Struthio camelus: one gene and its partners. The main gene of each other region encodes a partner of the protein of the gene in region 3 in a complex. Links are inferred from orthologs where the notes say so. Each region holds a gene or a part of one and is shown on either strand. Other genes may lie near its edges.

Region 1 (7,634 bases), on a different chromosome or scaffold from region 3:
CGACATCAGCGCCAGAAGTTGAACCACAAGCCAAAACTGCAGCCACCAAACCGAGCGGCTGTGACTTTGCACCTAGGTTTTCTGTGCAAACACTTCCCTCCACTGGTAGAATAACTAACTGCAACCACGCTACTCAAGCAGGAAAACATAATGCTATCTATACTTTGAGAGATTATTTTAATATTTAATTTAAATAAGAGTACATGTAATTTTAGTACTTGTTTGCCTCTTCCAAAAAGGAAAAGATATTGGGTCTTTTATTTTTCACTACTGAGGAAACAGGAGTTTGGCAGAACGTGAGCTTTTCAGCCAGATATAAAATAGCACACCCAGGAGAACGGGGAAACCACACTGGGGCAATATGCTTGGCTTTCTTTAGGTTTCCCGAATTAAAATGCAGGCTAAAGCCACGACGATCCTTCACACACACAAAAAAGGGAAAACATCAGGGGCATACCATTTTCTAGTGCTTCTGCCAGTTCTGTCAGACCCTCCCCTCACAAGCAACTTTGCTGATTGCAAAGTCTTCTCCTCTGACACCTTCCCCCCGCAGAAACACCTCGATAGCCCCCCACAGTGCCAGCCCAGTCTGCTCTGCCTCCGCAAAGCAGGAGCGCAGACAGGAACGGCCGGGCCAGCGCAGGCACAGCGCGGCTGTGGGTGAGCCAACCTGCTGACCCAGCTGCCTTAAGCGGCAGCTATGAATGATCCCTTCTCTTAGCAAGGCAGCGAGGGTTAATCGCGGCCTGCTGGTGCCTGGCAGCGGAAAGGCAGGCCTTTAACCCCCAAAGCTCCGTGTAAGAAAGGACTGCGGTTCCAGAGCGGACTTTTGCTCGCAGCGGGCTACTAGAAATCAAAGCATGTATGGGAAAGCTGCAAGCAATAACTCCGAGGCGTTCCCAGAAAGCGTGGTCCCTTCAGGGATTCAGAGACAACAGCAGAAGACAACCGCGGAGACACTGAAGTGAGGAGCCCGACATTGGCAGAAGGGCTGCTTGCTCATGTCATACCTCAGGCAGCACACCTGACTGAAAGCCTGACGTTTTGCTATTGCAAAATGGCAAAACAGGTGATGCAATATATGGAGGGCTTCAGTTCTGAGCTGAATTCGTCAAGCTCTCCTAGGGTTTTAACAGAAAATAAATGACTACTAAAGAAGGAGAGTTAAAAGGAGATGAAACCAATTGGCTGGTTGGCTATCTGCAGTGCAGACCAAGCCAGCAACGCAAAAGAGCACACAAATAGCCAATATTTCTCTTCTTGGAGAAAAAAATCACTATTTGAAACTCAGCTGAAAACAATGTTCTTGCTCAACAAACGACCACTTGTAACTTAGCTGAAAACAGTGTTCTGACTCCACTGGGAACTTCTTCGGTATTGTTCGGCTGACATGTTTTTCCTATTTTCAAACTGGTAGGAGTTGTGTGTGGGGAAATATATTTGTTATGGAACTCTGCCCTTTGCAAGTTGTTCGTACGCTGCTGAGGGTGGAAATGTCAACAGAAATAAAGTTCTCCTCCCGCCTTCCCAGGAGACCATAACAGCAACCTGAAATCTTACCATGAGATTTAGCTAACAAAAACTACAGGATGAGTTTACTTGTATTTGAATCAGGACAATCTCAGCCTCTCTTGACAGCAAAAGAGGGAAGGGGTGCAGAAAAATGAAAATATCTACCCCATTTTTCAGCAAGACAATTATCTATGCATCTTTTCTAGGTGTTTTGTATAGGATTCATCTCACTTAACCTTAGGTGTCTAAATTTGGGCAAGTGACCTGGGCTTGTGTTCTGATGCATGCAGAGAAACGGGTATTCGTCAGGTATTATTCCTCTGGCTGATTTTAGATACTTAGCTTCGGCTGAGATGGCTCATGCCTTAGAAATGAGTCTAAGCCAGTATCTCTTCTTCAGTACAAAGGACAACAAGGATAATGTGCAGGACAGTGAGAGGAACCCCACCGCTTTTTCTGTGAATGCAATTTTAGACTGCATCCAGTGCCATTTTAGATTTGGAAGTGGCCTCCCATCTGGCCTGCAATGGCTGCTTCAGAAGGACCTAGGTCTCCTGATCCCTAGTTCCTACCTGCCAGCCCTGTGTAGGTGTCTCCAACAGCCTGGGATGTCTGTAATGGCACCGGGCACCTTTGTTTACCAACTGCAATTGCTCCCTGTATTTCTAACTGTAAAGTAGAACCGCAAGGGTTTTTAAATCTATTTTCAATATGAAAACTAGATAATTCCTGGCAAACTTTCACGCAATTATATATTCTGAGGGAAGAGGGGGGAGGAGGTTTCCAAATAAGTAAGACAACCTTTTCCTCTTCTTCCAGTTATTTAAAATTATTTTTTGTGTTTTGTGAGGAAAGAAAGAAAGGAATGGAAGGGTAAGAAGGATGGGAGAGATTTTTAAAAATAAAAGCCAAAAACAGAATGATAGCAGAGTTTTTCAAATTTAAATCCATCATATAATCGTGTTTGATTTTCTCAATTAAAAAAAAAAAAGCGATATGGAAATACTTCTGGCAAAATTGCACTCTTCATGATGTTCTATACTTTCTTACGGACACTACCTATTTTTGGCCAGAGCTACAGTAAATTCTTCAGAAAGGGATAATATCGGAGGACCTGAATTGGGCCTCAGCTCTATTCCCGTAGGGTCAGAGTTTAGTGTCCTTAGGAATCATCTCCAGTGGAGTACAACAGAAGGGAGCCAGCCTTCTCCCTTCGGTGGTCAGAAACCAATGGATCAGCTGCTTGTGGAGCTGCGGTCCAGCAGTGACCAGTAGCGGACGGTTAGAGAAAGAGCGCTGAGAAAGGACACAGTATGAATGGAGAGACCACTCACTCGTGGGGGCAGCGCCCCCCTGGTTTCTGGCGGACGAGCACTCCCCTCCCAACAAAATAGAAGTAGGGGTTTCTACATACAAGGGGAAGAAGCCTACCTTCATTAAAGAACAGAGTTTTAACTCTCAGGGTCAAATAAATCCATTTGATGCAACATGCATTCACTGTATTGAGGACTTTAAATATAAGGGTAGCCATACATCCAGGAATGCAGGCATTTTGCCTACACTGTGACAGCCTAGACAGACTTAGACTGGTTTATTTAGTGCTAGCCACATACCTTGAAATTTATCACCAGGATGGGCTGGTGGGCTCAGCCAAATATCTGGGTATTTAATAACAGTGATTGTTTTTGGAATTTCAGCACTGGTACGAGCAAAGTTTTTTTCTGTCAGGAAGGGGAGTCAGATGCTTCTGCTTTGCCAGCAGAAGAGAATGCAGGATCAAGAAGTGATGGGAGAAAACCGTATCTCCAGTTAGCTTTGAAGTGCACCTGGGCATCCTAAGAAAGGATAGATAGGAGTACATTTGGGAGGGTTTTATGGCTGCATATCACATAACAAGGTTTCCCAACTAGTAGTTGTGAGCCTGGAAATGCAAATGGGAGAGGGATCCCAAGCCTGGAAATGGATTGTGAACAGCCAAGCTTGGGAACTACCATTACTTAGGATAGCTAGAAAATGTAAAGTACTTAAAGGCATTGAGCCACACTGAAAAAGATACATGTCGAAATAAATATTTATTAATTTGTGCAGGGCTATTTCAGACATTTACCTATGAAACACTCAGTAAACTCCCATTAAAAGTGATTCTCAAAAATGTAGCTGGAGAATATTGTTCAACCTATGAGTTATCATTGAGGCAATTTTACCAATGACATAAAAAATTCTGAGTTATATTTAATGTTACTCTTCCTTCAACGATACTTTGAACGTGACGGTAGATTGTGACTCTGATGTCATTATTAGAAAAAGTAACACAACTTCATTACCTGAAAACCCCCTTCCCTGCACGTTAACCTTTTACAGTTGTTTTTATTTTGACAACATCCTACTAACGGGATGTTCAGTAACACATTCAGCCTCTGCGAAGCTTGACATGCTGCTGAAATGGGATGTGGCCCAGGAGTGCATGGTGGGAGACACACCAACTCACTGCCCTCTTGTTCACATGTCAGGCAGATTGCAAAACCCAGTAGCTTCCTTACAAGTGCTACACGGGGCTCTAAGGATCCCACCAGCACTGGAAAAGACAGAAGGAATACTCAACTAAGGTCCATTTATAGATCGAATAGGTACAGAAACAGGTATTTTCAGCTTCCTTCAGCATAAAGTGGCAGAACTTTTGGGATAACGTGACAAACTGTTACAGGCCATGTTAATTTTGCATGCTTAATGATGATCATAATGCCAATTTGTGCAATAATATTTTCCGCTTCCTTTGAGATCCTAATTACTCAAACGAAGCAACAAAGGAAGAGTTTGTGTTGGGGGGGGGAAGTTCCTAAATTGTTTTTCACCTCAGAATGAAGAACGAATAACCTAAAATTCATGTATCTTCCTCAGAAGACGTAAGGGTTATTTTCACCCAGATAGAGATCGCTCAGAAATGACTCATTCACCAGATGAAAGTGTTGACTCTGGAGTGATACAGGTTATCAGAAACGTTCTCCTTCTTTGCATAACTATTCTTTGACTGCATGCTTTTTAAAAAAGCGCCGAGTCACATAGGGGACGTAACCCACCGCCCCACCCGACAGCAAAGCCAGCCCCCCACGGCCACGCCCCCCCCCACGGCCGGCCCACGCCAGGACCCTCATGACGCTAAAGTCAGGCGTGAGGCGAGGGTGACCTGCCGGCACCGCCCACGGGCGCCCGCGGCCTCGCCACCACGGGCAGCCCCCCCACCCCTGTCACGAGTGGGCGGGAGCGGGGGCTTCGCCGTGGTTCTCGCCGGCTGGGGGGGGGAAGGGGACGATGGCGTCATCAGCGCGCGCCGGGGAGCGTCGGACGGCCGGGACGATGTCGCCGCCGCTCTTCAGCCTGCCCGAAGCTCGGCTCCGGTTCACGGTGAGCGCGGCGGCGGCGCGGGCTCGGCCGGAGCTTCTCGCCCCTTCTCCCGCCATCCGGGAGCGGGTCCGAGCCCGGCCGGGCGGTAGGGCCGGCCGCTTCGCGACGGTGTAGCCGCTCGGCCTCGGCGCGCCGCCCCTCCCCCTCTCTTTCCGCCTCGGCGCGCGCACCGCACCGCACCGCCTTTGCCGGGCTGTGTGCAGGCGGCGCGCGCCTTCTCCGCCAGTCGCCCCGCGCGCTCCCTCGGCCGGCCGTTACCCGCCTCCAACGGCCCGCTGGGGCGCGCGCCGAGCCCGCCGCGCTCCCTCGGCCGGCCGTTACCCGCCTCCAACGGCCCGCTGGGGCGCGCGCCACGCTCCCTCCTGTCTCCCAAGGGTCTGGCAGTCCCTCCAGGAGCCTCTCAGCGCTGCCCAGCGTCCCAGTGTAGAGTCATGAGCGTGGGAGGAGAAGGGAGGCTGTGCCCAGCGAGTTTTCTGGGCTCGTTTGGGTTTCCCAAGTGAACAGGGGTTGAGGAAAGGGGGAGCAGCAGTGAGACAGCGGCAGGTTAAACGGATGCTCGGGGCTCAGGTGTGCAGCTGGATGGAGGAAAGTACCACGTTGAAGGCTGAACTCACCTGCCCTCCCTTCTGCATGAATGGACCTGAATGGAGTGCAGGGGAGAGTTTGACTTGACGTGTATGCCAATTTTTTTTTTTTGCTGGCATGAAGGAAGTTGGAGGAAAGTGTACAAACTTTACTTCTTTGGTCTTTGATGCAAAGAGATAAACTTGACTAGCTGGAGAGAGAGAGAAAACTTTCACTGCATTCACAGTGTTATAAAGGCACGTAGTAATGTTATGACAACAAGAGTGCTAGTTTTATGAGGTCAAGACAAATGTAAAGGGCAGAAGAAAGGACATTAGAAATCTATATTAATGAACTTAAGTTTTGCTATGCTTTTGTATAACGTAACATACAAGTTGATACCTCACACCATTGCCTACCGCACCCGATTGCTGATTCACTAAGACTGAACAAATCAGTGGCCCAGTGCTGTGTTCTCTCTGGTGGGGGAGAGGGGATCTTGACAGATGGTTCTTCCCTTTCCTGTTCTTGAGTGAGTTTACCGTCTTAGTGCTGTTCTTTGTGAGCATTAACTCCCATTAACCTGTGTTTATGCTATCATGCTAATGCATGATAGGCCTTGTCAGGTTATGCATGATATGACAGTAAAAGTCTCCTAGTTTCAGTTCACCTTGTCCTAGTTGCATATCCAGGTTTTTTATCAATATCAGTTTCATACAGAAGAATCCTCTATCTGCAAAAAGTCTGCACAGCAGCAGCTAACAGCAGAACAAAAATTCGAATGTTTATAACAGATGCAGCTGAATGATGCTTAAGTCCAGTAGAGCATGTGTTAGGCACGGTAGGCCTGTGGCAAAACTTCAGCTGTGTTCTAAGTACTGTAGCAACCCGTTATAGCTGGGATATCTTTCTGAAGAGGAAACTGTGTTTTCATGTAATGAGTGCTAAACTCAGTGGTATAAATTTTTGGGCAGGAGTTTTCGTACCAGTTTAGCCTAACTAGGTGAGCTAAAATGAGAATAGTATCCGTGGTTTAGTTAGCTAAAATTAATTTAAAATTAAATCAAAATCTGATGTAACTCAACGTTTGCAGTAAAACATGCCACAGCTTGTCGCCCTTATCTCCTTTGCGCCTCGACTGAATGATGCTTTTTCCTTACTAGAGCAGACTGAGCTGGATGTGTACTCAAGTGGTGGTGCAATTTATTGGACTTTCAAAGTAAGGTGTTGAGATTTGTACAGAAATAGTTGAGGCACAGGCAGTTATTCCGTTATATTGATTTCATTACAGGGAATTTTTAGACCAGCTTGCTAACAGAAGTAATGTTTTTAAACCACCATGAGTTGCCTGTCTGGCAGGTGAAAGTTTGTGTATGGACCTTTCAACTGTTCTAGGTGCAGCATCAGCCATAATAGCATGCTCCTTTATATTTCACTTGGAAGTGTTATTTTCTGCATACCATTAGCCCTAATTTGAGGTATGATAATCTACTAGGTAATATGGGTAAGTTGTTAATATATTTTCTTTTGTAAATCGATGCATGGTATGTCACAAATAGATTCCTTAGTATTTCTGCTTTCTGTCAGATGAAGGAAGAAGGTGATCCATCAGAGTAACTTTGGTTGCCTAACGGTTTTGTAATTTTTTTTTTCACCTTTTGGTAGACTTCCACTAGAGAGGCTCTGAATAACAAAACCATCAAACCCTTGTTGAATGCATTCAACCAGATTCCTGGGAGGTAAGTAGCTGCCACTTGATTTTAAAAAGTGGCTATTCAGATCATTTTTACTAATCTTTTCTTTAATAGTTGTTATTAACTAATGTAGAATTTTTGTATTTGCAGTGAAAATGAAAAAAAGTGCACCTTGGACCAAGCTTTTAGAGTTATTGTAGAAGAAGAAATAGTAAGTATTTCACACTGCTAGAGCCATCTGTTGATGTAAATGAAACTTCTGTTTGCAAGTTAACATATAGTAATTTAACAACAACTTAACTGAGTTGTAGAAAATAGTGTTTATTAAAAAATATGAACTATGTAAAAATTACATAATTAAGATTTAATATAGACAATTAAAGAAGATTGGTAGGTAGGATGAAATTGCTAATTTTACAGATGCCGCACTGCTGAGAGATGCTGACTTAGCCTTTTCCAGCA
Region 2 (7,593 bases), on a different chromosome or scaffold from region 3:
GGGACTACCTAAGAATTGACCCCAGGCCTTACGCGTGCTTTACAGACAAAGAATGGGAAATCCAAAGGTACAGTTCATTTTAAATGCTCCTACCTTCTGAATCTGTACAGCCAACTCCCGAGTTGGGGCTAAGATCAATGCCTGGGTCTCGCGAACCTGATTAAAACAGCTCAGTTAATCACATGGCCATGGCTGATCAAGCTCAACCGAGATTACAGATCCTACAGTGCTCCACAATGTCACGTTTGAAGGATTAATTACAGAGTTCTGTGCTAAAACCTACTGCTTGGAAGGGTCAGTTCACCTAGAAAGCTGCTCCCACACAAAGCGTTTACACAGGAACAGCTGCTTATGTAAGTTACTTTTGACAAGATGCAGTTCTTCATTTCATCACCTCATTTTTCATTCCAACCTCGTTTCTGAAAACAATTATAAAAGCGAGTGTGCTTTTCTTGTAAAAGAATAAAAACAAATTTTCAAGTGACTTAACTTTCATACTTTCAACTCAGGCAAAAAAGCTTTGCATTGTTCAAGGATGCCAAGACAATGTTTTAAAGTATCATATTTGCGAAATATTTTGAGCGCTTTACAGAGAGGAGGTGAAAAGCTGACCTCTCCATTCAGAACAGGGAGCTAATAATTATGTCCCCAAGCAATACCAAGTGAATGACAAAGCTTAATTTAAGGGACTACTGGTCCACAGAAAATCATGCTAATGTTCAAGTGCACCTATATAATAAGTTGTATTTCAAAAACATTTGGGCGAACAAAATACTCCTGACTAGAACAAAAATGAACATCCGTCAGGCAAAAATCTGGCTCGACTCTGTGCAATATGTGCCACCTGTTCGTGGACAGGTTGATGATGATGTTAGGACTGTTTGAGGACAACTGTCTGCTGGAAGATTAATTTAGCCATCTAATGCTGTCAATAAAAGCATCTGGAAAAGATTAGCTGTTAAAAGGCAGCTTTATAATTGCAAGATTTTATCTGAACTTTTTATTCTGTCAAGGTGGGTTTAACAGTTAAATCCTGACAGCAACAGAGCGTGATGAAATTTTCAGTCAGAATTTTGGCCGAAGGTCACTGCCCATAATTAAAAGATTTCAGTTTAAAGCTTCATTCCTTCACTCTAGCCAAATGAAGGCTTTTATAATGAAAATGCCAGTGATCTACTTTAAAAATTCTTTTAACATGTGCTGCGAAGTCACCTGTATATCTAGGCACTGCAGAACAGAGATGGAGAACGTTGCTGTCTTCCCCGTTCCAGACTGTGACCTGAGAAAGAGGTGTTTGGTAAATACTTTTTCTTCTGAACAGCTAATAGAGGCAATTTCAACATACATCTCTCACCCCTCTGCCCAAAGGTAGCTTTCTGCCATTTGTTCATTGCAAAGAAGTGAATATTGCAAACAACAACTTGCTAAGACAAGTTCGACTGGTAAGAAAAACAGCTTTAAGAAATGTAATCTCAGGGCTAGAGTACTCTCTACTGCAGGGTCCCAGCACTGTCACGTTTACCCCTTACTGCACCAGCATTTCAACTTTCTGCAATTTGCCTTGCAAGATTTTCTTTTCTTTTAAAGTAAAGCAGTAGATATGCTACAATTCAGAAGGCTATTGATTTCCACCAGTGACTGAGAAAATTTTTTTTTCAATTGGATGTATACCCTTTGTTTCCGGAGACAAATACAAGATCGTTTCTACTTACTTCTTTTCCCTTGACGAGAGACCGCACGTGTCTCTGTACTTCTCTAGCTTTGCTGGAAACCACTCCCAAGAGTCTCAGACCCCCGTTTATTCAGAACACACAGCATCTTGGCTGAATGTTTATCACAGTGGCACATCTAGAACATCACCCACTTGGGTTGGCTAGATATTACCAGCGCTGTCAGGAACACTGTCTGCATGTCGGGTGGCCTGTTTCACCCTACAGCGTTTACGATGTGATTTCCCCCGTCCTCTGCCACGTCAAGCAACGGCTGGGAAACGCCATCGACGCACCTCACCTCCAGCTGCGGGCACGGACCGTCACCGGTGCTCGCAGCGCTGACCACGCCAGCTCCGAGCAGAGCCGCGTGCAGCGCCAGCTCCTCCCGACGGTGGGCGGTTCATCTGGCGTCCAGCACCCTCAACTCACTGCACATCTTTTTGGGCAACCCCCCCCCCCCAGCTTCATAAAGACAAACAGGTGGGTATTTCCGAAGCCTTTGGAGATCGGAGCCCGGCTCTGTGCACTGGGGGGGGGGGGGGGGGGGGCTCCACTTACTGTGCGATCACGTCCCGCCCTTTGATGATCTGCTTGATTGCTCTCTGCTGGATGGCCGACGGCTTCTCGAAACCTGCCAGCAGCGGGAGGAAAGGGCGGTGAGGCAGGGCGGCCAGGGACACCCCGGTCCCCCCCCGCCACGCCCCCTCCGCCTCCAGACCACGCCCATCCGATGGTGGCCACGCCCCCAACCCAGACCACGCCCCCCCCTCCGCCTCAAGCCCCCACCTGGGAACGCTGCGTGCGCCGCCGCTCCAGCGCGCATGCGCGCGCCGCCCCAACATCCGGGCGCCGCCGCCGCCCGCCCCTCCCCCTCCCCGCGCGCCTCCAGCCCCCTCCCCCCGCCGCCGCCGCCGCCGCGCTCCCGGTTCTTCCCCTCCCCCCCACCGCCGCACCGGGCCGCACCGTAGGCGTAGATGCCGCGCAGCAGGTCCTCGCGCAGGCCCATGGTGTCGAAGGTGGGCGTCACGTCCACCTCCTCGCTCGTCTCGAACTCCACCTTGGTCATGTCCTCCTCTTTCATGAGCCGCTTCCGCGCCGAGCCGGTCGCGCCGCCGGACCCCGCCGACCCCGACATCGTTGTTGAGGCCCGTTCCTCGCCGCCGCCGCCGTCTCCCCCCTCCCTTCCCCCCCGCGCGCACGCAGCGGCACCGGCACAACCGCCGCCACGCACGGAGGGCCCGGCCTGGCGCGCATGCGCCACCGCGGGGGTGGGACGGGCGGGACGGGCGGCGCGCATGCGCGGCGGGGCGGCGCGGGCGGCAGGTAGGAGCCGCGCGAGGCGGCCCGGGCCGGTCCGGTTGGGTCCGGTTCTGTCCGGTTTGGTGCGGGCGGCGGCGGCTCCGTCTAGTCGTCGTGTAGGCAGGGGCGTGGTGGGGCTGCGTTTCTGCTGCTGCTGACTGAAATATTTTACCGATTAAGGCTGAGCGTTTGCTTTGTTGGTGGTTTTTTTTTTTTTAATTGTTATTATTTTTAGCGGCAGGACTCCCGCTCGCTGTAACGGCCCGGAAGAGCTGTTCTCCTCTCCTCTCCTCTCCCAGCATGAGCTCTGGATGAGCGCTCTGAGCCCGCTTAAGGAAAACAAAAAATGCCCCCGAATGGAGCTGTCAATCAGTGTTTACACACCTAAATTAAAAAAAAAAAATTACTTAGGCCAGGTGTCTCCCGAAGGTGCTGAGCGCCCGGCGCGTCGTAGCCCTCGGTCAGGCTCTTGGCGCAGAGAGATTTCCCCGGCCAGGAATCGGCAGTTACCGTGGAAACCCCAAGCAGCCGTGCTCCCGGCGAGGAAATAAAAACGGGCCTTTTTCCCAGCCTGGTTTGTTTTCATTTGCGTTGCTTTGGCCATTCGTACCCCAAAACGCATTGAAAGAGGCTTCCAGCCGACGCGTACCCTGCAAAGAGTTGGCCGGCGGCTGAGAGGCCGGGGCTGGAGCGGCGAAGGCGTCGGTGGCTTGTGAGCTCGTGAGGTGACGGCCAGCGTCAAAGAGTGATGAAAATACCTCCGCTCTGCGCCGGCCGTTTGGGAAAAATCCTGCCTCTCTGAGGCGCTCCGAGAGAAACGCTGCGGTCGGACGGCTTGCGTTGCCTGCGTGCTTTTGCCATCTCTCGTTCGTGGAGGCACTGCAGGTAGCGCGGGGGCTCGCCCTTGTTTCAAAAGCGGTATTTCAGAAGGTGCCTGCATGTGGGACCCGCTTTGCCCATGCGCACCCTGGCGTCCTGCCCCAGACCCAGCAGCACCCCGAGCAACGTGCGGGTGGAGGACGGGCTGGCTCTCAGCCCCCGTATCACCCCCGTGCAAGCCCAGGGGTGTCAAACAAGGGAAAAGAAAGAGATTTGTAGAGGAAGCTGAGAGAAGCCAAGAGCAAAGCGTGCTTTGCTTTGCCTGGCTCCAGCCCTGTCCCTGCCGTTCCTCTGCCCGTGTCCTGCAGGCAGCAGGGGTCCCGTTTTGACAGAGCTGGGTCTCCAGGTTTGCTTCTGGGGCAGAGGGTTTGGATCTGGGCGTGCTGCACCCCACGTCTTCCGTTCCTGTCTGGGATTTCAGCAAGATTTACATCTTCCATCTTCTTTTCCCCTTTTTCTCCTCCTTCAGCAGTGATTTTTCTTTTTCATCCTCGTCCTCTTTCCACCAGTCTAGACAGCTGCTTGGCTGATCTCTGAACAAACCCTTCAGCTCTCACGGGGGAAGGTTCTCTCCTACTTGGCAGGACGGTCGTTGAGTCCTGAGCTAGAATTCCATTTGACGTGCCGAAACAGAGCTGTCATGGAAAAATGGGTGTTTCCAGGCCCAGCATGTCTGAGGGTGCCTGGGGTGCACCAGGTGAACGTGGGTCGGTACCGCTTCAGTTGCGAGCGGACACGGTTGTGAGGAACTGGACCCTTGAGGAGTGACAGCAGGTTTGGGGTGCGTGACCCACGCCCCGGGGCAGAGAGCGGCTGACGTTCTTTTCTCTTTCTTTTTACAGAGCCCGAAGGCGAACGAAGCGGGTGAAAGCGGTAAAGGCCCTGGCAACGTGGTGGGAAGGCTGTTTTCAGGACGGCAGACTCGTACCATGTTTTCACCTGGAAGCCTGACCTAGGCTGCAGCCCCTGCCGTGTGCCCAGCCCTTGCTTGGACGTGGCTGAGGCTCAAGTCCAGGCTCTCCGGGAGGCGCTTGGTGTGGGAGGCAAGGGATTCCTCGGCTGGTGCTGGTCTGCAAGAGCGTTTGGCTGAAGGAGCTCAGGAAGAAGGTGAGCAGGGGGGAAAGGCTGGGAGCCAGCCTGTTGCGAGAGGACTGGCAGGGGGATTTGCTGTGCATTGACTGCGTACAGTCGAAATGATGGTCCGAAGCAACCTTTGCATCCTGCAGAGCACAGGCACTGGTCCTCAGCCGGTGTACTCCAGCACAGCTTCATTTCCCTGGAGGCAGAGATAGCTTCCTCTGGAGAGGAGCTGCTCTGTAGTGGTGGGAAGGGAACTCTGAAGGCCTCTGGTCTAGTCCTCTTAACCGCAGCAGGGCCAGCTTCCAGGCTAGACCACGTTGCTCAGGGCTTGTCCAGTCAAGGTTTGAACATCTCCCAGGATGGAGACCGCACAGCCTTTCTGGACCTGTCTCAGGGATGCACTACACTCAGGTGGAAGAATTTTTTCCTTATGGCCAGTCAGGGTTTTCCTTGTTGCAGCTTGTGCCTGTTATATCTTGTCCTTTCGCTGTGCATCTGAGAAGATTCTGCCGTTTCCAAGATGAAAGGCTATGTCCAGGGTGAACGCACATCTCTTTGGGGTCCTGGGGTAGGCATGGGGGCCTTAATCCCTTCTCTCCCAGAACCGGAGCAGGGTTCAAATGGTTTTCATGCTTGTGTGGATCCACCACTGGGCTAGTGTTTCAGGCTTGGCGGAGAGGAGTTTGATTCTTTGTACGTGCATGGAAGAAGTGCAGTGTTAATTTTCAAAGAGGGTTTTTTAATTGTGTGTTCTGTTTGCACTGCAAAAAATAAAATGGGATTTCCTTTAAGAAGCTGGTTTGGATGCTTGCAGCTGTGTTTCTGAAGCTGGTAGGTTTCTCTTCTCTTGACCTCAGTCTTTAGGAACTCAAGGATTTATTCACTAAACTGGACAAGGATGGCAGAGTGAGCACTGAGGAGTTCCAGATTGGCTTTTTCAGCCATGCAACGCTCTCTTCCCGGGGTACACCAACGCCTCTCAAGCAGCCAAGGCTGTTAGCGCTTGACGAGATGAGTTTAAAGGAAGAAGGCTTTCCTTTAAAATTAAAGATCCTGGTTCAAGGCCTTGATCTGCAGTTGCTTGGAGGTGATTTCCATTAATTATCAGGATCCACAAGTTATTGCCAGTTCCTTATGCAGGACAGTGTGTAAGGGCAGTGTGACACAAACGTCCTGCAGAGAATCCAGACAGAAATCCAGCTGTCATGCCTGGGAAGGTTTCTCTGTCCTTTTCCCCCCCAAAAAGGAGGCTGAACAATGGGGCTCTGCTGAGAGTGATTCAGGCCAAGATGTTTCGTTTCACGAGGGGCTGATTTAAGAGCCGCTAATGGAGGTGACTTGGGCACCTGAGGGCAGTGATTTGGGGACAGTTTTCCACTTGCCGGGCAGTTCCTGGGGATGGTCTGGACTTCACCGCTGTACGGTAAGTAAACGACTCCTTCCAGAGCTGTCTGAGTAGTTAAAACCCTGTGCAGGTGGATCGGGATGATAATACAGAATAACGCAGCGCTGCCAAGCCTCTTTTTTTTACTGGAGAGAGAGGAATGCACTTCATGGCAGAGGGGAAAAATGACCGCAATTCTAACATGGGCTTCAGAAGTGCTGACATCTCTGCACCTTTCCTGACTAAGGTTGTCCCCCGTTTAGTGCACAGAGCAAACTTCATCCTGCTTTAACTGATGTAAAATATTTCTCTCTGCTTAGTGCTTTTAATCCCAGGGACTGTCAAGGTGTTTGCAAATGCTTTAGAAGTAACTGCAACTTCAGTGCGTTAAGGCAGAAGTGAATAGCTGATTCCCCCAGCAGCCAGAGGAGCTCCGTCCAGGATCCTGGGCAAAACTACTCTTTTAAAAAAAAAAAAAAAAAAAAAAAAGACTAACACAAAGCGTTTCAGGCTCTTTTGGCTTACAACTTTGAGGTAAGTGTTGAGTGAGGCAAGGCATCCAAACTTGGTGTGAAATTGGTACTCTTGGAGATGTTACCAGTTGTGCATGGGGTCTCTGGCAATTGGGTGCTGCTCTTTGGGTCAGTTTGGCTGAATCGCGCTTGCCTCTGAAGTAGGCAGAGTTAAGCTGCCTCCAGCCCAATTTTAGCTCCTAGATCAAACAAAAAGTTGTCTGGCAGTCCTAGTCTGATGTTTTTCACAAGACCATCTGATACTATATAACTTCCAGTGTTAGTGTTTCTGTGGATGCCGAGTTTTCTGGGTTGTTAGGGAGATCAGACTGCTTTACCGCTTGCTCCTTTTGGCTGCCTGAGGGACAGTTCAGGACATCTCACCTCCTGGCAGCTTGGTGTTATTTGTAGAGCTTTCTCCAGTATCTGTGGGGTGCCTGCAGCCTCTTTTTAGTATTGAAAGATTCCGGGTTTTCTCTGCTAGTTTTGCCCTGCTGACTGCTCTCTGTTTTCTTTCCAGGCATTTGTTGGATGGGCAGGGAAGCAGCTTGTCCTTCCCGCTAAGCTGTGTGGGCCCACACCTCTGCTCCAGCAACGGCACTGGATTTGCCAAGTCTGAGCTTGTCGCTGCTGTTTGGCCCCAGGAAGTGGTGCAGAGCCAAGGAGATCCTCAGGGTCTCTAGTGCTGCCTTGTCTGGCGGCAGTGAGTGAAGCAAGCACAAGGCCT
Region 3 (7,631 bases):
AGACTGCAGCAGAGTTCGTAATTAAAAACAAACAACTCGGCCACAGTGACAAATCAACCCTGGGCTGAGCATTTCTATGTAAAGGAGCTGCCTCTGGGCCCCAAACAGGTACAGTTGTTATTAAAAAATGACAGAACTATTTAATTTTTTCTCTCACAGCGCTCAGGTGCCTGCCCACTGGTATCACTTGTTTGCCTGGAAAACTTCAGCTTCGCTTGATCAGATGGAGCAAATTTTGCCTGGTGAAGCTGTTGTTCCTTGTGGCCTTACTGCCTTTTCTGAGCAGAAATCTTTTGCATTTGCTATTGCTCGCTCCAAGCGCCTCTGGGCCCTTCTCCTTCCACGCTTGTGTTCACTGACATCCTGTGAGCGCCAAGGGCCAAAGATTAACACAGTAAAGTAGGATAAAAGCTCATGAATTTCAAGTTTGTGACTTTGTTTACTGATGTCCCCCCCCTCCCCCCCCGGCAACTGCAGAAGCTCCAGAGTCTGGTTGCTGAGCCGATGCCTCGGCAGCCTCCCCTGTGCCGCACAGCGCAGCCAACACCTGATGATGCTCTAATTTGCTGGAAGGGTTGGAACAGGCTCCTTAATTAAATCTTGCAGGATGAGCCAGGTGCCGGTGCAGCTGTGGCCTTGTGCACTCGCCCTGGCTGCAGCCCTGCAGGGATCCACGGAAAGGGCAATGCAGGCGCCTGCTGCCCCGGCCAGAGCCCGGACCTGGCTCCTGGCAGAGCGTCGCGCCCTGCACGCAGCCCCGTGTCCGGCTGTGCGCCCGCAGCCCCGAGGGACGCGGCAGCGGAGGAGCCGCTTGCCCAGCCTGGAAGTGGCACCGGCACGTTGTGGCTGCTGGCTGGAAGGGGCCTGTGCAGTGCTTGGCCCCCGAGGAGAGCGGAGGGGGAAGCTGCGCCCGTCGCCGCGGCCCGGCGGTGATCAGCCCAGCGCTGCGGAGGTGCCCGAGCTCGGGGACGCAGCGCTGTGCTCAGCAGCAGGTGCTGGTGGCTCCGGCAGGCGCTCGCAGCCTGGGCATCTGCGCTGACGCCTGTCCCCGTCCCTGGTGTCCCCTGGGCCTCCTGCAGCGTCCGGCTGGGCCACGCAGGGCGGGCGGGTTGGGATGGCGGCTCCTTGCCACGAGCACGGCCGGGTGCATGGGGCCCTGTGCCGGAGCTGGGGCGGTGGGGCGCAGTGTGGGCACGAGGGGCTGCGCTGTGGGGTGGTGCCGGGCAGGGTCCCCCGGGGCCGGTGGAGGATTGAACCCTGGCTCGGCTGCCGCTGCGCGGGGATGGCCATGGCGCCGGGGCTGGGGGCTGCCCAACCACGCAGGTGCTGCCGGGGCGGGAGGTGCGCTGTGGCGAGCACGGACGGGACTGGGTGGGCTCTGCCCGGGGAAAGGCTGGTCAGTGACAACCGCAAGCGATGTCTGTTGTATCAGCTGCTGCCCTGCCTGCGCAGGACCCTGGGCTGTGCCCTGCCGCTGGCACTGATGAGCATGGCAGCTCTCGGGGTGCAGGTTTTGGGGGGGGTGGGGAGCAGGGACATCAATTTGCCAGTCACAGTCAGCACATGATTTTCCATGGAGGGGCTCGAAGCTGCTGTGGGTGCCTGGAGGGCACCAGCCGCTCATGCCGGTCCCCAGCCCTCTGGGGCCCCTGCGCAGGGGCTGGCAGGGACCAGCTCACCTCCCTGCCGCCCCTTGGCTGCCACATGCCTGCGCCAGCCTGGCTCCTGCCGGGGGGGTGGGGGGGACACAGGGGCGGCTGGGCCACTGCGACGCCGCGTCCTGCAGCTGCCGTTAGCCCTGGCACCGTCCCAGCTGGGTGTCCCTGCCCTCGCAGCCCTGGCTTCGGGGCCCTGGGCACAGCACCCAGCCCAGGTCGGGTGCTGCCCCCGCTCTGGGGCTGGGCTCAGGGGGCAGCCGGCCTCCCTGTGTGACCAGGCGCCTGCTGCAGCGAGGGGCTCAGCAGCTACAGCAGATATGTCCCCTGTAGCTGCTCTGCTGGCTGGCGCCTGCAGCAGCTGGCATGAGCTGTGCTGGGCATGGGAGCGCACCAGGCTCAGGCGTCCCCTGCGCCCCAGGGCTGGTTCCCAGGCAGGGCAGGCGCCGCGCCAGTCCGGTGCACCCGTCTCACCAGGACACCTCCTTGGGCTGTTCCGGTGCCCCAGGCCCTGCGGCCAGTCCCAGGGCTCCTCGCGGCCTGGGCTTGGTTCCATCCCCCTGTGCACGGGGTGGGGGGCTGCTAAAGCTCCTGCCGCTCCAGAGGAGGTACAGCCGCAGGCTGGTGCTGCTCCGCCTGGATCGTGGTGCGGCGGGTGCATCCTAGACCCCAGTTGTGCTCCCCCACCCCACAGACCGTCTGTGACAGAGCAGCAGCTCTCCCCGCTACCCCCAATGCCACCACAAGGACACAGGAGATGGATCCAGTCCAGGCGCATTTATTGTCAGAACTGCGGGCTCAGTGAGGTCGCGCTGGGGCCAGCTCACACATCCGTGCACTCCATGGGGTCCAGGGATACGGTCACGTCCGCCTTGCACTGGAGGGCACCCGGGGCTCCGGGCAGCACCTGGCAGCTCCGCAGCTTGGGGGACACATCTGTCACACACGGCACCTGCAGGGGAGACTGTCAGCGGTGGGACTGGCGTCTCTGGGGAGCGCGGCGCTGTGGGGGCGGGGGGGGGGGGCGCTAGGGAGCCCTCCATGCCCCGGGGCCTCGCGGGCGGGTGGCCCCAGTCCTGGTCCTCGATGGGGCTCAGAGTGCGGCAGGGGCACCTGGGAGCCCTGGGGTGCTCCCCATCCCCGTATGTATCCACACCTTGGAGCCCTGCCAGGGGAGCTGGGGCACCCTGGCACCTGCCACAGCCCGCAGCCTCGCCAGGGGATGGGAGCTCCCTGTGCCCCACAGGCAGACGACTCGGTTCCGGATGCTCGCTAAGGTGCGGAGCCCCACGGGGCACTCCAGGACCCTGACGGAGGTCCCGGTACTTACCGTGCTGCAGAGCCCCACAGAGGACCCGGGGAGCCGCCCCGCCGCAGCGCCCACCGTGCCCCGGAGCTCCGCGCGGCGGCGCCGGTACTCACCGCAGCGTGCAGCTGCACGCGGGGGCCGTGCTCGGCAGCACCGTTGGGGTCGGAGCGGTGGATGTAGGGCGAGTGGCGGATGCCGGAGAGCAGCCCCGAGGCTCTGCCCACCAAGTAGTAGCTGGGTCCGGCCGCCTGCTTGTACCAAGGCGCAGCGGGGCGGCACAGCAGGGCCAGGGCCAGGGCCAGGGCCAGCCCCAGCCAGCGGACAGCGTGCATGGTGCCAGCAGGACTGCAGCAGCTCCAGGGCTGCTGCTGCTGCCTTTATAGGCAGGTTGGGGGGGGGGTGACATGCCACCTCCTCTGCGCCTCCCCCGCCGCAGCCGAGCAGCCCGCCTCCCCGGGGTGGCATTGCCCGCGGGGAAGGAGCTGCTCGACCTGGCCCCGCTCATTAGTGGCCCCGCTCGCTGGGGCGTCCTGGCACCTGCCCCAGGCAGGGCTCCCGCCCGCCGACACGGCTGGGCTGCGCTTTGCCGGGGGGAGGCTCGGAGCGCGTCCAGCCCGTGGGGAGCCGGGTCCGCCCGGGGGTCCCAGGCTGGCGCAGGCTGCACCCCGCGTCCCCTGCCTGCCCCGCCGTGGGGGCCGGCGGCTCTGCCCGCGGTCTGAGCCCCTCCAGAGCCCAGCGGCGCCAGGGACGCTGGAACAAGCAGATCACAGCAGCGAGTTTACGGGCAGCAGCGCAGGTAGGGAAGTCGCAGCTTGGGGCCCGGCCGTCACCGCAGCGCCACGCAGCGGGGCGGCAGCCGCCCCAGGGCCGAGCCCCGGCCCCGAGCCCCGGCCCCGAGCCCCAGGGCGGCTCTGCCGGCGGCGGCCGGGCCCGGGCGCGGCGTCACTCGCGGAACTTCCACTCCTGGCGGCACATGGGGCAGTGCTGCTGCACCTGCTGCGAGTGGAGCCACTTGAGGATGCAGTGCATGTGGAAGCAGTGCGAGCACTGACCCCACACCAGCGGGCAGTCGTCGCCGGGCACCTTGCCTAGGACAGACACCGCGGCGCGTCACGGCGCGTCCCGTCATGCCGCGACATGCCACGCCACGTCACGACATGCAACGTCACGTCACGGCATGCCACGTCACGTTACACCGCAACATATCACATCACACCCCGGCGAGGCACGTCACGGCGCGGCGCGACACGCCACGCCACGTCACGCCTCGACACGCCACGCCACGTCACGCCTCGACACGCCACGCCACGGCATGTCACGTCACGTCGCGGCGCGGCGGTACTCACAGTCGGGGCAGCAGCCGTTGAAGGCCATGCGGCAGATGCCGCAGTTCTCGTCGTTGGCCACCCAGAGCCAGGAGGCGACGCCGTTCCAGCCGCGGATCTTCACCCGCATCGCCGCCCGCCTCGCCTCGCCCCGCCCCGCCCCGCCGGAAGTCCCGCCCCTCCCCGCCGGAAGTCCCGCCCCCTGCCCGGCCGCATCGCCGGAGCCGCCGCCGCCCCATAAGGCCCCGCGCGGCAGCGCGCGCGGCTTGCCGCGCCTTCGCCGCCAGCCCCGCCCCCTCCGCTTCCGGCGTGGGCGCAGCGCGGCCGGAAGTGCAGGCCCCGGAGCGGAGCCGCCATCATGGCCGACAAGATGGACATGTCCCTGGACGATATCATTAAGCTCAACCGGAGCCAGCGGGGCGCCGGCCGGGGCGGTCGGGGCGGCCGGGGCCGGGGAGGCGCCACCCGCGGCGGCGGGCCCGGCCGGGGCGCTGTGGGAGCCGGGCGAGCGGGCGGCGGCGGCCCCGTGCGGAACCGGCCGGTGATGGCCCGGGGCGGCGGCAGGAACCGGCCCGCGCCCTACAGCCGGGTACGGAGCGGGGCGGGGCGGCGGCGGCGGCGCAGCCGCGCGCGGGGCCGGGGCCGGGGGCGGCGGGCCGGGCGGGGGGCTGGGCCGGGGCAGCGGCGGCGGCGGGCCGGGCCGGGCCGGGCCGGGCGGGGGGCGGCAGTGGCGGGGGGCGGCGGCGGCGGCGGGCTGCCCGGCGGCCCTTTGTTCGCGCCGGCGGCCCCGGGGCGCGTGGCGGGCGGCGGGAGCCCCGGCCCGGCCCCGGTCAGCGAGGTGGCGGTCTCGTTGCAGCCGAAGCAGCTGCCCGAGAAGTGGCAGCACGACCTGTTCGACAGCGGCTTCGGGGCGGGCGCCGGCGTGGAGACCGGCGGGAAGCTCCTCGTCTCCAATCTCGACTTCGGCGTCTCGGACGCGGACATCCAGGTGAGCGGCGCCGGCGGCCCCGTCGTGCGCGCGGCCGGCATTGGCGGGGGGATTCATTCATAGCATCTGCTTCGGGCGCTTCCTGGGGATGCTGTAGCTCTTGAGGTCCCGCTGCTTTCTGTGGCCCAGAGGGGAGATCTCCAAATCCTTTAACTCTAGGTTTGTGGTTGTATTTGTGCCATGAGTATTTCTTGTGCAGTTGTTCTGAGGATGTGAAGGTAACTGCAATTCAAAGAAGCTGCTGGCCTCTTCTGATCTGCGGCTATTAGCATTAGCAAGAATGTTTGTGTGGGAAAATATACTGGTGTTTGCCTGAATCCATCTGTGGCTTGAGAACTTTGTATAAACTATGTAAACACAAGTTGCATTTCCCTGTGAATTCAGTAACTATACTATACGTACATCAATTTGCTTTGTTTTTATGGGACTTGTTTACATAGTTTCTTTGTTCTAAAGCCACGTTCTATTAAGCGTGAAAGTATTCCTATGTCAGCATCGATCAGTGAAATTAAGAAGGCTTATTTGTCGGGGGGGACATTCCCCCTTACGTTGTGATATCTATAATTACCTTGTATTTCTTACAGTAGTTCAATTTTCTAGCTGAGTTGCCATGTCGTAGTTTCAGCTCTGCTTTGGTTAAAAATCTTCCAGATGCTTTAAGTCAGGTATATGGTGTGATTTGTCTTTATGGCTGAATTGATCAGAACGGAGATTGAAATTGGTGGACCCACCTAGCTATAAGGGTGCTGTAATGTATGGGCAGTAAACTGTACAGCCACAAACGTTTGCAAATGTAAGGTGCATCCCCACTAGGGGGCTGTGCTAGTTAGGTTACACTGCAAAACACTTCACTTTAAGTTGGCTTTTGGTCCCTGTGCCTCCTGCCAGAAAATAAACGCTTTTTCATCTGTTAGTTCGTTTCAGCTACCTTGTAAGTTAAGCTGGCTACGTCTGGAGAATTGAGAGCGAGTGTTTTTTTCAGGTCACCGAGTTGACGTTTGTTTGGGTAATGCACTTAAGGCCACTTCTTTTTTCCTATTTAAAGTTAGCTTTGGTTGAAATAAGTTCCTTGTTTACTGTAGTCAGGCCCTCATGTATAAAACGTGAGTCTGTGAAGTTGCTTCAGTTCAACTAGTTTTTGTAGGGGTGTGTGTGTGTGTGTGGCAGATGGGTATGTCTTTCTCGCTGTTGTTTTGGACTATAGGTGCTGATGAAGTTCCACGTGTGTTTTATTTAGCAGCAAAGCTGACTTAACAGGCTTGTACCTATTTGTTACTACTGCCTCATAATTTAGCACTTCCTGTGCTGGCTAGTTTCCTTGTTTTTATGCTAATCGGGTCATTAATGAGGTACAAGGTAGCCCGGGAGTTGTATTGCCAGGAATGGGTGACTGGAAGGAACCTAAAACAAGCTCTTGGAGAAGACATATATAGTGTCATACCCCGACCCACCACTGCTGCTCATGGAGAACCAGGGTTTTCTGTAGCACAGTGAGAGAGGCTGTTCCTTAAGACGTTGTTGAGCAGCTCTTTGTGTGTGCTGCTCCGTATTCCAGATGGCTTGTACAGAGTGTTGTGTTAACGTGCACGTCAGTTAAATGAATACAAGGTAGAAGCTGGCCTGCAATCTTGCCTGGAGTGCTGTTTGCTTAGGAAGTAAAAGAATATCTGTGTTGCTCTTTTCAAATACTGGAAATATTGGAATAATGTTCAGGCGTTGCAGCGGATAACATGAAAGGTGGCAGGCAGTCTCCCTTTGGACATCCGACAATTCTGGTGTAGATTTTGAGCTTTCGAGGCACTAGCTATAATAGAAACTTACAAAGCTATGAGATGTCCCTAGTTGATTTACCAAAAGTAGCACCCGCGCAAAACAAAATTTGTGGCTCTCTTGCTGCCTCTGCTCGTTTCCACCCTTCAAGACAGTGAGTAACAAGAGGGCATACTTCAGTAGAGGACTCCTCCTAAGCTCAGTTTTTGGGATATGTTCTTAAGCTCCAAGATGACAGGATTGGTTTTTTTAAACTGTAACTGGTCTAGCAAAGATTTTATAAGAGAAGTCCAGCACATAGAAACTATGATCACCTTGTGAATCACTGCATTCATAGAAATAAAGATCATTCTTCCTCTGTGAAATGGTTTAGGGTCTGGATTATTTTTGAATAGCAGCCCTGTACATGTAGTCTCGGCACAAAGATGTGCAGCTTCCCTGGCAGAAGCGGCAGGTCAACACCCCTTGACCCTGCTCCACTGGCTGTATGCACACACCCAAGTATGCAAGTAGTGTCTTACTTGCTTTTGCTGTGTGTAGCCGCTTCCTGAAGTTCTTCTGTTGGGCTTATGTTTGCTCTTTCA
Region 4 (7,214 bases), on a different chromosome or scaffold from region 3:
CTGGTTGATCAGGCTGCAGCAGAGCAGGGCGTCGCAGCCAATGAGGCGCCGCCATCTTCGCCTAGCTCCTCTGATTGGGTGTTGCCATGTGACCGAGGTGAACGGCCTCTGCCCAGCTCGTGCCCCTGGCCGCGCTCTGGGACCCCCCCGCCCCCGGCAGCCAATAGGGCCGGCCCTGGGGCGTAGCCACGACAGCATTGGGGTGGGCGTGGCAAAGCCCGGCCCAGTACGACAGCCAATCAGAGTCGCCGCTGGAGAGGGTGTGTGGCCGGCGCGTAGCCACGCCCCTGTGCCGAGGGAGGGGTGGGTGGCCGCCGCGCGTGGCCCCGTTGCGCGGGATGATGGCGGCGGTGCGGGTGGCCAGGAGCGCGGCGCGGTGGCTGCGGGCGGGCGGCGGCGGCGGCGCAGCGCGGTGAGAGGCGGCGCCGGGACCCGGCACCGGGACCCGCCCCGACCCCGGGGACCCGCCTCTGCCCTCAGTCCCGGGCACCGGGGTCCAGCCTTGCCCCCTCAGCCCTGGTCTCTGTCCCCTTCTTCCCCCTTCCCTCAGTCCCCCATCCCTTGTGCCCTCCTCCCCTTGTCCCTCTGTCCCCTTGGTCCCCCTTTCCCCCATCCCTCTGTCCCCCCGTCCCCTTGTCCCTCCATCCCCCATCCCTCTGGCCCGCCATCCCCCCGGTCCCCTTGTCCCCCCATCCCTGCCCTCCACCCCTGCCACCCCCGCCTCACGTCCCCATCCCCTCCGTCCCCAGGCCCCCCTCACACGGGGCTGCCCCACGCTGGCTCCCCGCCCCAGGACATGTCCCTGTGTCCCTGCGCCAGGACACACGCAGCCACGGCCGGCCTGGCAGCACCCCGTGCTGCAGAGGGGGGTTGTTTACCCTGCCCCCCCCCCCCACCCCGTGGTTAATGTGTTACCAGCTGCCGTGCAGCGGGCCAAGGTCCGGCCGATGACACGGCATCCCCGAGGAGGCTGGCGCAGGGCAAGCCTCCCCTGCGTGCCACCGCCCCACCGTGGCCCCCCCCAGCGCTGCCTCCCCGAGCCTGCAGGCAGCCCGGCGGGTGCCACCGCCGGTGCCCCCGGTGTGGCGCAGGGGCCTACGCCCTCGCGTGATACCCAGGAGCCTCTGCCCTCGTGTGACACCCAGCCACGCTGCCACGAGTGTCCCTCGCCCTGGGGAGGCTCTTCCCCGTGGGTTGCCCGTGCCCTGAGTGCCTGGTGGGCTGCCCATGCCGGAGCGGGACGAAAGCGGGTGCCAGGGAGCCTCCTCCTTCACAGGGCCCCAGTGACACGTGTGCTAGTGGCACACGCGCGTCCTGGCTCCGACGGCAACATGCCACCAGCAGCCTCAGACAGGCCAAAAAAACCCAAAATCCAGCGCTGGGGGAGCTGCTCCCTGGTTCCGAGCGCAGCTCTCCTGCAAGGCTCTGGACAAGGCATTTTCGCGCCTCAGTTTCCCTCTTTGCAACACAAAACGAATGAAACCAGCCTCCCACAAAGCCCTGTGAGCCAGCCAGTGCTGTCTGTGAGCGGATGCTGCTGGCTGCCTGCAGACTCAGGAAGGCAGAACTGCAAGCAAAACTCCCTCCTCGTTCTTATCGTAACCGATGTCGCCCCCCAGGGTGACACCGGCGTCTCGCAGGGGCTACGCGGGGACGACCGAGGGCAGCTGGCTGCGCTCACTCTTCGTGCACAAGGTGGATCCCCGCAAGGATGCTCACTCCAACCTCCTGGCCAAGAAGGAGACCAGCAACCTCTACAAGATCCAGTGTGAGAGGCGCCGGGGGCAGGCAGGGCCAGGGGCACCTCGGCACAGCTCCGCGGCACCTCCGCACCCCGTTATTTGGCCGTTTGCCCCATTTCTGTCCCCAGCTCAGTGGCTGCTCTCCACTTGGGGCAGCTCCTCCCCGGGCCTCAGCTCCTGCTCTCACCCTCTCGCCCTCTCTCCCACAGTTCACAACGTGAAGCCCGAGTGTCTGGACACCTACAACAGCCTGACGTGAGCCTCCCGTGCGGGTCAGGGTCACCCAGCGTCCCTGCAGGGAGCACCCAGGGGGCTACTGAGGCTGGTGCAGGGCTGGGGGAGCTCACACCGAGCTGCTTCAGGAGCCCCCGGCAGGTTTCTTATTCTGGGCCTCAGTTTTCCTTCCTGTGAAATGGGTGCAGGGAGCTTCCCGCAGGGGTGAGGCCAGGTTGCGTTGGGATGCAGCCCCTGGCTGCCGCCTGCCATCTCCTGGGCGTCCCCTGGGGCACAAGGGTCCCCTGCAATCCCCCATGTCCCCGCAGGGAGGAGGCGCTGCCCAAGCTGCACGCGGACGCCGACTACCCCTGCACGCTGGTGGGCAGCTGGAACACGTGGTATGGCGAGCAGGACCAGGCAGGTCAGTGCGGCAGCATCCCTGCAGCGGGGGCACAGCAGCACTGGGGCCTCGGCGGCCTCCCGCCCTCAGGGAAGGGCCGTGTGGGCAAGGGAGGGTACAATTTTGGGGGGGAAAGTGGCAAAACAGAGCTTTGAGAGGGTGCTGCTGGGAGCTATGCACGGCTCTGTCCTGGTATCACCCGGCCGCCCGGGAGCGAGTGCTGGCGGGTCCCTGGGCTCGGTGGCACCCCATAGGTGCCTTGTCCTTGCAGTGCACCTCTGGCGCTTCTCCGGCGGGTACCCGGCACTCACCGAGTGCATGAACAAGCTGAAGCAGAACCAGGTAGCACTCAGGGCGGCACCGTGCCGGGGTGGGGGGGACACTGGCGTGTCCCTGGGCATCCCCATGGCCATCCGGGCTCCCCGCAGGAGTACGAGGCCTTCCGGCGCGAGCGTAGCAAGCTGCTGCTGGCCCGTCGCAACCAGCTGCTGCTCGAGTTCAGCTTCTGGAACGAGCCCCTGCCCCGGCCTGGGCCCCACGTCTACGAGCTGAGGACCTACAAACTCAAGGCGAGTGGCCCCACGCGGTGCCGGGGGCAGGGGTGCAGGGAGCCACCCGCTCAAACGTTGCTGGTTTGCTTCTCCCTTTCCAGCCGGGGACCATGATCGAGTGGGGCAATAACTGGTAAGGAGACAGCCTGGTCTCTGCCTCAGTTTCCCCCCTGCCCCAGGCACTGCCTCAGTTTCCCAGCTGGTCCCGTCCTTGGGGGCCGTCCTCCACTCCCTCGTTCCCTGCACAGTCCCTGGGGCTGTGGACAGAGGAGGAGGAGGAGGAGGAAGAGGAAGGCTTCTGGCACCCCACAGCAGTTCTTTCCCCCCACCCCGGCCAGGGCTCGGGCCATTAAGTACCGGCAGGAGAACCAGGAGGCCGTGGGTGGCTTTTTCTCCCAGATCGGCGAGCTCTACGTTGTGCACCACCTCTGGGGTAAGTGGGCACCCAGGGGCACCCGTGGGTGCTGGGTGCTTCTGCGCCAGTGTGAGATGCTCTGTGTTGTTGCCCCCCCCAACCTCGCTCCCTGCAGCATACCGGGACCTGCAGTCACGCGAGGAGACGAGGAACGCGGCATGGCGCAAGAGTGGCTGGGATGAGAACGTCTACTACACGGGTGAGCGTGGCGGCAGGGGCACCCATGGGTGCTCAGTGTCAGGGGTCACCCGCGGTGACGTCCCCCCGCCGCCACTGGCTTTGCAGTGCCGCTGATCCGCAGCATGGAGTCGCGCATCATGATCCCCCTGCGCATCTCGCCCCTGCAGTGAGCCGGCACCTCAGCACCGTGTCGCCTTCCGTGCCCCTGGGGCACGCCGGGGTCCCCGCAGGGCACCCAGATCCCCTACCTGCCCTGAGCACCTACTTGGGGTAGCCCATGGGGATGGGAGCTGGGGGCGCCCCTGCTTTCCTCTGGGGGCTCGGCACCATGTCACCTCCTGTCCCCCTTGTCCTGATCGTCCCCCAAGGCTCACTGGGGCAGGGCCAGGGTCCCGCGTGGCACCCAGCTCCCCTCGTCCCCGGAGCACCCATTGGGGACCCCTTGCAGGGACAGAGCCAGGGACACACCTCAGGGTCAGGAGCTGGGGACACCCCCCATGGGGGACGGGAGCCAGGGACACCCCACAGGGGACAGGAGCTGGGGATCCGCCATGGGGACGGGCCCTGGGGACACCGCATGCAGGACAGGAGCCGGGGACACCCCATGGGTGCTCCCACTCTGGGGTCTCCCCCCTGCAGGGTGTCCCTGGCACCCACCGCTGTCCCTGGGGTGGGAGCACCCATCTCTGCGACCCCAGGAGGTGACAGTGGTGTCAGGAGGTGACAGCAGTGGCCATGCACTGCCAGTCCTCTGCTCCCGCTGCTGCTGGGAGCCCCAAGTTCTTTGGAGGACAGTGTTAATTAGCACTAATGAGCCCCGGGCCATGGCCGGGCCCCGGGGGCTGCACCCATTAAACATTCGATGTGCCCATGGGTGGCCCTGTCTGCGAGTGGGGGGCCGGGGTGCGTCCCAGGGGGGTCAGCAGTGACGAGTCCCACCGGGGCCGCTCCCATGCGCACAGGTGTCCCCTGCACCACTGGGGACCCCCCACCCTGTGGTCCTCAACCTCAACAAGGTGCACCTTCATGCCCGTAGGTGCCCCCCATGCCGATGGGTGCCCTTCCTACACCAGGGCCCCCCTCCCATGTCTGTGGGTGTCCCCCAATGCCAATGTGCCCCCCACCCCAAGGAGCCTCCCAGTGGCCATGGATGCCCCCATACATCAAACCCCCCCTATGCCCATGGGTGCCCCCCAAAGCCAATGGGAGTCACCATGCCCAAGGGTGTCCCCCTGCACAAAGGCCCCTCCCATGCACTTGGGTGTCCGTCATTGCTAATGGGCCTCCCCCCACCCCAGGGAGCGCCCTGATGCCCATGGGTGCCCCCCATTCACAAGGCCCCCCCATGCCCATTTGTGTCCCCCAGTGCCAAGGGGGACCCTCACTCCAAGGGCCCCCCCATGCCCAAGGGTGCCCTCACCCACCAGTGGACCCCTATACACCAAGGGGTGCCCCCCAATGCCAAGGGGGACCCCCACCCATGCCTGTGGGTGTCCCCCATACATCAGGGCCCCCCTCATGCCCATAGGGACTCCCAAAGCCAATGGGACCCCTACCCCAAGGAGCCCCCATGCCCATGGGTGCCCCCCACACACACCAAGAGGACCCCCATGTCTAAGGGGCTCCCCTGCACCAAGAGGCCCCTAATGAGCCCCCTCAGCTCCCCGCCTCAAATCCGCTGGTGCCTCCAAGGGGCACCGACCTCCGGGGCTGGAGGTGGGGCGACTATAAGCCCCGCCCCTTTGGGCCAGACCCGCCCCTCGGCCGGGCCCCGCCCCCCTCGGCCCGCGCTCCTCCCGGCGGGCCTTGCCCGCTAGAGGGCGCCTCTGGCGGCTGCCGCTCTGCGCCGCGCTCGTCTGCTCCGTGACGTCACATCCGGGCGGCGCTGAGAGGGGCTGACCGGTGAGCGCGGGGGGCCGCGGCCGAGCGGGTCTGCGGCGGGAGGGGGCTTCGCCGGGGGCAGCTGGGGCGGGGGAGTGTTGGCGAGCCGGGCCTGGGCCCGGTCAGTTGGGGGGGAGGCGCTGAGGCCCGGCGGGGGAGGTCCTGGGGGACCCAGTGCGCTGGAGACCGAGGGGGACCTAGGGCCTGGTGGGCAGTCCTCCGTGAGTTGGGGGCTGGGTTGGGGCAGGGAGGAAGCTGCGAGGCTCCGTGATTTCGGGGTCCAGCAGGGGCCCAGGAGAGCTGCGGCAGGGGGGAGCCCGAGGCCCAGCGGGGTGGGGAACAGGGGACCGGGAGAGCTGGGGTGGGCGGGAGGCCACGGGGCCTGCTGAGTTGGAGGCTGTGAGGGAGCCAGGGCTCGGTAGGTTGAGGGCTGGGAAAGCCAAGGAGAACTGCAGTTGGGGGTGAGAGGCTGTGGGGATCAGTGGGTTGGGTGTCTGGAAGAGTTGGCAGGGGGGAGGCCCTTGTGCCTGGTGGGTTGGGGGATGGCAGTGGGCCAGGAGAGTTGGGGTAGAGGGCAGACCCTGGAGCTCAGCAGGTTGGGGGTCTGGTGGGGGGCAGACACCAGGGCGCGGTGGGTTGTAGAGCTGGAAGAGGGCAGAGCCTGGTGCCTAGCCTGTCGTGGGGCAGGGGGAGGGCCTAATTTATCGGAGATTGTCAGAGTTTGAGATGGGCCTGGCAGACAGGAGCCTGGGGGGCCCCATTCTGGGTGCCTCTGTCCCTCTTCACATGCTCACTTGGTTCTTTGTCCCCCAGCCCTGCCAGGCAGCTCCCGGCAGCACCATGTCATCAGATTCCAGCAAGAAGAGGAAGCCCAAAGTTATCCGCACCGATGGGGGCCCACAGGAGGGCAAGCGGGGCAAGGCCGACGCTGACCAGGTGGGGTGCCCCGCAGCCTCTCCTGGCGCCCCATGCGGGGAGGAGCTGCCTGCTTTCGCAAGGTGCTCCTGTCCTGCTGCATTATGAGAAGCTGATACCAAAACTTCCTTTTATTGGCCTCATTCCCCCACTCAGGCAGCTTGAGTGGGGTCAGAACCAGCCAAATCTGAACACCTGCAAGACTCCCACTCTCAGTTTCTGAGCGGGTTTTCTCCTCCTGGAGGAAACGCAATTCCCATGGAGTCAAATGTTGCCTTTTGGGACATAACAGGCAAGTCTGAGGCTGTCAGGTGTTTCAGGGATTTGCAGGTTGCCTTAAAACACTCCCACAAAGATCAGAATAACTTAGTTTTAGTCAAAGTGGAATTTAAGGTTGAAGAAGTAGGTGTGCAGCCTTGATAACAATCTGCGCTGGTGCAGGACAGATACTGGTCTTAATTTACAGTGATGATATAAGAGGCCTAAACTTTCCAGGCATTTGTGCCCCGGGTGGTTAAACGAGTCACTCTCCGCTGCGCAAGCCCCCTCGAGTGTGGGATGACTGGGCTGAGGCAGTGCTCAAGATCTGGTGGTTTATGTCCAGGGCACTTTAGGAGGTGTTTTTACCCCTTGCAGGATGCTCGGTACTACAGTGAGGAGGGTGAGGTGGATCTGCGTGACCCCATCAAAGACTACGAGCTCTACAAAGAGACCTGCCAGGAGCTGCAGAGACTCATGGCAGAAATCCAGGAGCTGAAGAGCAGAGGCATTAAGGACAACGTAAGGAGGAGCTGCAGTGCTTTTTCTGCATGTGCTTTCCTGTGATGTTTCTTCCTGACCCAAGAGGAGCAGGAGCCACACGGCATTCTGGGGAGAATTAGGAAAATGGGACAGTCTCTGTTAAATAAAGTAAG

The links.
Region 1: ALYREF (region 3) and THOC1 share a complex: the UniProt entries of both Homo sapiens proteins name them as parts of the transcription/export (TREX) complex. The link is inferred for Struthio camelus from reciprocal best matches to the Homo sapiens genes ALYREF and THOC1.
Region 2: ALYREF (region 3) and EIF4A3 share a complex: the UniProt entries of both Homo sapiens proteins name them as parts of the ALYREF/THOC4-EJC-RNA complex. The link is inferred for Struthio camelus from reciprocal best matches to the Homo sapiens genes ALYREF and EIF4A3.
Region 4: ALYREF (region 3) and THOC5 share a complex: the UniProt entries of both Homo sapiens proteins name them as parts of the transcription/export (TREX) complex. The link is inferred for Struthio camelus from reciprocal best matches to the Homo sapiens genes ALYREF and THOC5.

Annotation. Positions count from the first base shown.
Region 1 is NC_090943.1:120,102,853-120,110,486, forward strand, and holds the start of THOC1 (THO complex subunit 1), read left to right. Parts: upstream 1-4,621; 5' UTR 4,622-4,821; coding exon 4,822-4,914; intron 4,915-7,143; coding exon 7,144-7,217; intron 7,218-7,322; coding exon 7,323-7,383; intron 7,384-7,634. UniProt on the Homo sapiens protein: Component of the THO subcomplex of the TREX complex which is thought to couple mRNA transcription, processing and nuclear export, and which specifically associates with spliced mRNA and not with unspliced pre-mRNA.
Region 2 is NC_090944.1:139,884,976-139,892,568, forward strand, and holds the start of EIF4A3 (eukaryotic initiation factor 4A-III), read right to left. Parts: upstream 3,006-7,593; 5' UTR 2,848-3,005; coding exon 2,676-2,847; intron 2,344-2,675; coding exon 2,271-2,343; intron 1,280-2,270; coding exon 1,213-1,279; intron 157-1,212; coding exon 94-156; intron 1-93. UniProt on the Homo sapiens protein: ATP-dependent RNA helicase. Involved in pre-mRNA splicing as component of the spliceosome. Core component of the splicing-dependent multiprotein exon junction complex (EJC) deposited at splice junctions on mRNAs.
Region 3 is NC_090960.1:401,415-409,045, forward strand, and holds the start of ALYREF (THO complex subunit 4), read left to right. Parts: upstream 1-4,627; 5' UTR 4,628-4,647; coding exon 4,648-4,878; intron 4,879-5,145; coding exon 5,146-5,277; intron 5,278-7,631. Other genes in the region: NPB (neuropeptide B), read right to left, coding at 2,479-2,607, 3,078-3,296; ANAPC11 (anaphase-promoting complex subunit 11), read right to left, coding at 3,907-4,052, 4,311-4,419. UniProt on the Homo sapiens protein: Functions as an mRNA export adapter; component of the transcription/export (TREX) complex which is thought to couple mRNA transcription, processing and nuclear export, and specifically associates with spliced mRNA and not with unspliced pre-mRNA.
Region 4 is NC_090958.1:5,143,059-5,150,272, forward strand, and holds the start of THOC5 (THO complex subunit 5 homolog), read left to right. Parts: upstream 1-4,199; 5' UTR 4,200-5,406; intron 5,407-6,198; 5' UTR 6,199-6,225; coding exon 6,226-6,321; intron 6,322-6,936; coding exon 6,937-7,080; intron 7,081-7,214. Other genes in the region: NIPSNAP1 (protein NipSnap homolog 1), read left to right, coding at 339-412, 1,620-1,768, 1,952-1,997, 2,285-2,379, 2,630-2,700, 2,787-2,927, 3,011-3,042, 3,248-3,342 and 2 more. UniProt on the Homo sapiens protein: Component of the THO subcomplex of the TREX complex which is thought to couple mRNA transcription, processing and nuclear export, and which specifically associates with spliced mRNA and not with unspliced pre-mRNA.